Linked DNA regions of Mus musculus. The main gene of each other region encodes a partner of the protein of the gene in region 2 in a complex. Links are inferred from orthologs where the notes say so. Each region holds a gene or a part of one and is shown on either strand. Other genes may lie near its edges.

Region 1 (4,042 bases), on a different chromosome or scaffold from region 2:
GAATGTTCCATAAAGCCATCTTGTCATCTGTTATTTTGTTTTCTGAATTCTGCTTTTCCTGGAGACTATGCCCTTTTGTGTGTGTGCATACAGTCAGATGCAGGAACAACAAAGGAGACAGTTCCTTTTTCAAGGCCTCCTGGACTGACGATGTAGGGTTGTGCTCTCTGCCATCCTGTTTGTTTTCTCCAGCCCTCAGCCCTTCTCTGCCAGCCTCTGGATGAGAAAGTCTGTACAGACGCATATCCTTCATACCACGGAGGAACCCGATTCTTGCGACATGATTTGTCACAAGTTGGTTGGAGTCAAGCCATCCTTTTGAGTCTTGTTTGGACCAGCGCCTTACTAGAATTGCTCTCTAAAAATCATGGTAGATCCTAGACTAAATACTAGTACCAAGGAATGGTCCAGGTTAGACTAGAGTGCAGTGTAAATAAAGTAACAAATGAAGATGTGTCCTTTGGAACTCTGATTACATGAAATAGCTGTATACAATGTAGAAAGAAAAAGAGCATATTGGGGAACATAGCTGGAGCTTGTGCCGCCCCACTGCGCATTTTCAGCTGTTACCCTAAGCTAGTGATGCTCTTGCCAGGGCATTTCTCTACACCACTGCTCCCTCCCCTTTTTTGAAAGAAAAATTAAATTGCTCTTCCCATTCTGGGGACAGTCACTTCTTTGTGATGGCTTCCATACTGGGCTGAGATGTCAAGAACCCTGTATCAAAAGATCACCATTTTGCAAACTGAAGCATCTGACAGTCTTGTACTGACAGTCTTGTAATTTCCCAAAGCCATGGAGCTATTTTGAAGTGTAGCTAGTATTCAAACCTCGAGAGAGCTTGGTCTTCGAGCTGATGGTACCGTTTGTCGTGAACATCTCATGGCATGAAGGGGGTAAGAATACATAGAAAAACCATGGCGGAAACATACAGAAAATGGACAGGAAAAACAGTGACAGTTATGTGTTGGGAGAAGAAACCATATCCTAGCTGAGACAAAGCTTAGCTTAGTCAGGCAGACTGCTGTAACTACTCATCTACTTCATGCAGCTGCAGGTCGAGCTTGGGCGGGAGTACTTAAGGCAGGGGCTTTACCATTGGGCTGTACTCTCAGTCCAGATTTACGTCCACCAAGCAGAGGTGGGGTATGTGTAGCAGGCTGTTCACAGGCTGTTCAGTGCAGCTCTGTTGACCACTTAAGAGTTTAGAGGTTCATGCGGACCTTGGTGTACCTTAAATTTGACAGAAAATTGGATTTTATCACTGTAGTTCTCCTTTAGAGTTGACTACAAGTTTTGAGTTATAAATTCATGGTTTACCTAAGTTATAAGTAGTTTTAAATGTAGCTGTTTAAAATCACTTCAGGAGTTTCATCTCCACCGGCAGGTTTCATTGCATTTTTATATTCTCCTTGAATTGTTGGGCCAGGTTTTCATGCGTATTTCTGTCCAAATCCAAACACATTTCAGTAACAGAAGATGAATTTGATCAAAAGTTAAGTAGGATGGGAAATGATGGATTGTCTTGAATAGGATGAAACGAGGAGGAAGAGATAGTGACCAGGACTCTGCTGAGGAAGGCACTGCCGAGAAGCCCAAGAGACCGAGGACGACACAGGAGCGCTCGCAGCCTTGTGACTGGGGTAACCTCCTGCAGGACATCGTCCTCCATGTTTTTAAGTATTTGCCTCTTCTTGACCGGGCTCATGCTTCCCAAGTGTGCCGGAATTGGAATCAGGTATTTCACATGCCTGACTTGTGGCGATGTTTTGAATTTGAACTGAATCAGCCAGCGACATCTTACTTGAAAGCCACACACCCAGAGCTGATCAAACAGATTATCAAAAGGCACTCAAACCACCTACAGTATGTCAGCTTCAAGGTAACCCCTTCCATCCTTCTGTTAACGAGTAAAGCGCCTCACTGCCGTTACTGTCACAGCCAGTTGAGCTTCTGATGTCCTTAGAATAGTGAACTTTTCAGGGAAAGTGCTTAAAGTTTTAAAATTATTGCATGCCTTTAAGAGTTCTTTACAAATATTTTTTTATATTTGCTAAAGCTAAAATAGTCCTTTAATTTCTTAAAAGAGCAAAAGCAGCCACTAAGTGAGTCTAAATAAGTGACTGAAGTTTTAAATTAATGGTGAATGGTTGGCAGCAAATTTGAGGGAAGAGAAATATATCACAAACGTTAGGGCAGTGAGTTTCCACCTGCTGCGCGGGACTCCTTGGAGGGGTGGTGGTGATGGTGTCAATTACTTTATGAAGTAACAATGGAATAATTTTATGGTTGGGGGTCACCACAACATGAGGAATTATACCTTAGGAAGGTTGAGAACTACTGCATTAGGACGGTTTGGTTTTGTTTGGGGGTGTTGTTTTATTTGTTTGTTTTGGTGGTGGTGGTTTGAGATAGGGTTTTTCTGCATAGTTTTGGCTGCCCTGGAACTCCACTCTGTAGACCAGGCTGGCCTCAAACTTAATTTCCTGCCTCTGCCTCCCAAGTGCTGGGATTAAGGGAGTGAGCTGCCACCACGACCAGTGAGTGTTGCTGGCTTTGATGCATTTTTAAAAAACCAACAAAAACACTAAAGATGATGTAGAGACTAAATAGTTCGAGTGTATTTTAGAAGGAAACAAAAGAGGATTCATGGAAAAATGCAAGAGAGCTGTTTGCTTCATTTCAGTGTTACAAGGGACACGTAAGACTCACAGAGTGATGAGGTGGGTGAAGGAAGGTAGCCTCTTGAGGTTTGAATAGTGTTAATCACAGTACCTATGTGAGAACAAAGGTTCAGCACATTGTATTTTGGAGATGAAGAAAGAAAAATGGGATGCTTGCTGAATCCTTAACGTTAATTTTTTTCTAATATGATTTCTAAATGATAGTTATTGTTAAATGATTAAACTGGGCTAGGCCTGGTGAGTCACTCATGTAGCTCTATGACTTGGGAGTCTGAGGTGAGAGAGAATCAACAATTTAAGGCCTTCTCTTAAAAATGTTGAGCATAAAAACCAAAAAGCTGTTGTAAAAGGACAGGAATTGCCTCGTTTGCCTCTATTTCCTGTTTGCTGAAGGGGCCAGCATAAAACCTGTCTAAGCAGTGCTCCTCACCTAAAGCTTCGTGCCCTCCCTATGCTGTCTTCCTCTAAGATAGGAGAGCTTGGTAATAGATATGGCTGAGTGGATTGTGGTCATAAAGGTACTGGGTTATCAGGCATAGGATTGCTAATCATAGCCAAAGAGAAAAGAGTTATCAGGACACTGCCTGTTAAGAGCAGCCTGGGCTACAGAGTGAGTATTTAACAGGAAGGACGCTGTTTCAAGAGGCAAACAAAGATGCCTAGTTAATTTTGACTTCACTGATGCCGATCAGTGTAGATGTGTCCCAGACAGACTTACTGATACAAGTTATTGTTTACCTGAAACTCCAGTAGGGTGCATTATTGTTTGATAAGGGGTAGGATTCAAGCAGACAAGTGTGGAGGGACTGCTTCCCCTCCTCCAGGGAGGAAACCTGAATTGCTTTCCCTTTGCTTTCGGTCATCTTTGAGTTGCCTTAGAAAACTGTAATGGCAAATGCTATAGAAAGGAGATTGTAAAGAGCATTCCTGCATATGAATGCAGGTCATCTCGGTCCTGGGTGTTCCTTTATAAGTCTATGACACAAGTCAGGTGTATCCAACAGATGGAGCTCATAAAACCAGTTGTGCTTAAGTTTAACATTTCTTGTTACAGATTTATTTGTGTGAGGAAGTAATTTCTAGTTTAGAAAGCAGACATGTCGCAGGGATTATCCTTAATATTTAAGTGGTCACTATAGGCTGGAAAAACTTAGAATCAGATTAATTAGTCTAAAACGGTGCTTTTCACGCTGTTCAGTAGACTCACCAAGGGGAGTCTAAAGGCAAACCGTGCTCAGTCCCACTCACAAAGTTTCTTAGCCATGTGGGCTAAGCATAAGAATTCCAATGGCTTCAGTACTTGGATGGTTTTCGTGCGGTCTAGGAACTTCATTTTGAGAACGACAGTTGGTACGACA
Region 2 (3,766 bases):
ATTGAAAATAAATGGGAACAAAAAATGGTGGTGTGCATCTCAAATTCCCAATGCTCTCAAAGATGAGGCAAGAGGACCCTACCCCGAGTCAATGCCAGCCTAGACATACATAGTTAAACCTAATCTGAGAATAAAGAAAGTGGGGATTAAAAGGCAACATTTAAGGCTTTGCTAGGGAAGAGCCAAGTTGCTGTGTAAAGTGATAATCTAGGCCAGCATGCTTCACAGCAACTGTAACGAGAATGTAAAGTAACGGGATTATCATTAGCTAGCAAAAACACAAAATAAATGGGAGCCTCAGTAGGAAAAGGCAGTGTCTAGCAATGGGGCTCAGAGGGAGAGCACTTAATGTGTGCAAAGCTCTTAGTGTTCAATGTCCAGCATTACAAAATAAAGGGGAAAATCTACCATAAAGGAAGCTAAAAATAGTGGCTGAGCAGTTACGTCTTAAGAACTAATCACTGGCCAGGCAGTTTGAGGCCAGCCTGGTCTACAGAGTAACCCTGCCTCAAAAAACCAAATCACCGGGTATGGTGGCGCACGCCTTTACTTCCAGCACTCGGGAGGCAGAGGCAGGCGGATTTCTGAGTTCGAGGCCAGCCTGGTCCAGAGTGAGTTCCAGGACAGCCAGGGCTACACAGAGAAACCCTGTCTCAAACCCCCACCCTCCACCCCCTCAAAAAAACAAAAAACAACAAAAAAAACCCACTTGAATTTTTTTTTCTTTTGCTTTTGAAGACAGGGTTTCTCTTTGTAGCCTGGGCTTTCTAGAATTTCCTTTGTAAACCAGGCTGACCTTACAAGTGCTGGGATTAAAAAAGATGTGGGTACTATCTACAACCATTCAGCAAGATTCTCTACAATTAAAAAATAACCAAATGGGCTGGCTAGATGGCTCAGAGGGTAAGAGATCATGAGTGCAAATCCCAGCAACCACATAGTTGCTCACAACCATCTGTAATGAGACCTGATGCCTTCTTCTGGTGTGTCTGAAGATAGCTACAGTGTTCTTATGTATAATAAACAAATCTTTAAAAAAAAAAAACCTTAATTCATTAAGAAACACATTTACATCCACAAAAGCAACTGTTTACTACCTATTGTACTACTTTTTATTGAAAAGCATCTTGCACTTAGGATGGCTGTTTTCTGAGTTTTACCATACACTTTAATGTTAAAAGGTTAAATTAATTTTTACATGCAAGTAGTGTTTCTCCACCTGGGAACAATGATGATAAAAAGATGACATACCACATGAAGTAAGTGTCTTTTTTAATTGAAAAGCTAACAAATTGTTGAGTTACAGTTCCCACTCCAAAACCACAAACTGGGTAGTAAACTAAATCTCTAGGCAACATATTCAAAGCTGAGAAGATTAAAAAAAAAAAAAAGAAAAAAAAAAAGAAAAAACAAGGCCTCAGATCCAATTAAGAGAGCCCAGCTGCACTCAAGCTTACCAGCAGCATAGAGGTTGGAAGACACCCACATGGTTAACTTCAAGCTGCCCTATTCCAGTTTCCGATTCATGAACAAGTATCATGTTTTGTTAATTCTATTTCAGCATACTTTTCTTAAGTTGTTTTATTTACAATGTCAACTTTGAAAGGCTCACTGAAGTTAACTGGACAATGAACTAGAGGCAGAAATCACTTTACAGAAAGGGAAAGCCCAAAATGCCACTTTCCGCAGAGAACCCATAGTTCGGTTTTATTCAGAGTAATGGGGGGAAAAGGAAACTTCTGCTCACAGAAGAAACTCAGCCACAGGTCTGATCTGGACTGGAACTACACATGCAGTGAAGACAAGGCGATGTTTGTCTACTGATCTCTAATATTAACAATTATAAACAGAGCAGTGCAACTAGCATTTGGAACAACCCTTCTAGTGTTACAGTGACAGGCACAGCAGTTCACTTCTCTTCACACCATTGGTTCTCTTTGCGTACCTAGAAGAGACAGAAGGTATACCTTGAGTTGTCTTTCCTGAGATGGCTAAGCACTACCTATACTGTATCATCAATAGCCTATGTCATATGAGAAAGGAAAATGGAAAGCTGGGAAAATATTAGGCTAAGTAAAAGCAGACCTGATGACTAACTTTCTAACATTGAACAGCAGATGTCAACTGAAAGCTCTAGTCCCACTTTCTAAGCTGGCAAGCACACCCAACTCATCCACTCTTCTATTATCAGGCCCTGATTTCTAAAGCCAACAGTTTACAACCTATACAAATATCACAGGTTTAAAAAAAAAAAGAATCTGATAATGAAGAACCTCTTTAGTTCAAAATCCATTTTTCTTATGTTTCTAAAAGAACAGTAGCAAGCTGAACATAACTCAGGTTAAAACTGTTATCCTGGAGGACATAATTCCTATCCCACCCCCACCCACAGCTCACAACCACCTGTAGCTCCAACTTCAAGAAATCTGATGCTCTCTTCTGGGCACCATGATCATACTCATGAATTAAAATTAAAGTCTTCAAGAACTCTCTCACCTAACTGCTTAGATCCAGAGACAGATGCACATTATGCCTTTGTATCAAGACTTTTGTTGTTATTAGTTCTTTTGTTCTCTAAGACAGGTTTCTCTATGTAGCCCTGGAACTCACAATCTACCTCAGCTTCCCAAGTACTGGGAGATAAAGGGCATTTGCCACCACGCCCCACTGGTATCAAGGAAATTTTAAAGGTGTTCTCGGGTAAGCAGCACAAGACCAAGACTTTCTGATGGGCTTTTTTTCTTGTCTTGGTATTGGGTTCCAGTTTCTTTTTAAAAAGCAATTGAAGATGGGTTGTGTGCTACCTACCTGGGCCTCTTCCTCTTCAGTAAAGTCATTTTTGATATTGAAGGTTTTACGAATCTCCTCAGGAGTTTTCCCCTTAATCATATTGGCCACAGTCTTGCATGTGACATCAAGCAAACCTTTGATGTCTAAGTAGTTTGCAGCCTGTAATTAATAGCAGGTTTTTTAGTCATATGTACTGAATATTTAAGGTTAACAATTTACATCAAATTGAGCTTAAAATGATACCCCGTTTAATGAACTCTTATGAAATTCTCTGCCCTGTAATACTGATTATTTTCAATGTAGTTTCACCTTTCACTAGCTTTCTTCTTTGGTTTTTGGGTTTTTTGTTGTTGTTTCAAGACAGGGTTTCTCTGTGTAGCCCTGGCCGTCCTCGAACTCAGAAATCCACCTGCGTCTGCCTCCCCAGTGCTGGGATTAAAGGCAGGTGTGCGGCACCACTGCCCGGCACTAGCTTTCTTCTTATACACTGCTTTAGCTTTATCCTAAATTTTAAGTTGTTTTATTTAAATTCAATTAGAAATACTAATGTAAAATTTTCCTTTGGCTTAAAAATAAATTACTGAATTTTCAAATATTCACAATTTTTCCCCAGGTTTTACTTTATTTTGAGACAAGGCCTCACTGCGCGTAGCCCTGAGTATCTTAAAACATGCTATGTAGATCAGGCTGGTCTCAAACTCAGAGCTCTGCCCCTATATTCTATATTAAAGGTATGCACCACTGCACCCAGCTTCAAACATTTTTCATGCTTCTACCACTGAAGTCAGAGAACATACTTTGTATAACTTGAATACTTTTACATCTGGGACTTGTATGGCCCAGAACTTAGTCTATCCTGACAAGAATTTATATGGCCATAATTAAATATAACATCCTACATATAAATTAAGACAAGCTGTTCAGCAGTGTTGCTGACCTGGTTTTCTGTCCACTTGTTATAATTACTGAGAAGCAA

The links.
Region 1: the proteins of Skp1 (region 2) and Fbxl3 are in contact, whole or in part, in a crystal structure (PDB 4I6J), measured with the Homo sapiens proteins. The link is inferred for Mus musculus from reciprocal best matches to the Homo sapiens genes SKP1 and FBXL3. Residues at the interface, in NP_733779.1 of Homo sapiens: Gln97, Leu100, Phe101, Ile104, Leu105, Asn108, Leu116, Asp117, Cys120, Lys121, Val123, Ala124, Ile127, Lys128, Gly129, Lys130, Pro132, Ile135, Arg136, Phe139, Ile141, Lys142, Asn143, Asp144, Phe145, Thr146, Glu149, Glu150, Val153, Arg154; in NP_036290.1 of Homo sapiens: Asp35, Trp36, Gly37, Leu39, Leu40, Ile43, Gln46, Val47, Tyr50, Leu51, Leu53, Leu54, Asp55, Ala57, His58, Ala59, Ser60, Gln61, Val62, Cys63, Arg64, Trp66, Asn67, Phe70, Glu82, Lys92, Ala93, Thr94, His95, Glu97.

The regions. Positions count from the first base shown.
Region 1 is NC_000080.6:103,093,033-103,097,074, reverse strand, and holds part of Fbxl3 (F-box/LRR-repeat protein 3), read left to right. Parts: intron 1-1,533; 5' UTR 1,534-1,534; coding exon 1,535-1,882; intron 1,883-4,042. UniProt on the Homo sapiens protein: Substrate-recognition component of the SCF(FBXL3) E3 ubiquitin ligase complex involved in circadian rhythm function. Plays a key role in the maintenance of both the speed and the robustness of the circadian clock oscillation.
Region 2 is NC_000077.6:52,244,164-52,247,929, reverse strand, and holds the end of Skp1 (S-phase kinase-associated protein 1), read right to left. Parts: intron 2,950-3,766; coding exon 2,809-2,949; intron 1,946-2,808; coding exon 1,910-1,945; 3' UTR 1,072-1,909; downstream 1-1,071. UniProt on the Homo sapiens protein: Essential component of the SCF (SKP1-CUL1-F-box protein) ubiquitin ligase complex, which mediates the ubiquitination of proteins involved in cell cycle progression, signal transduction and transcription.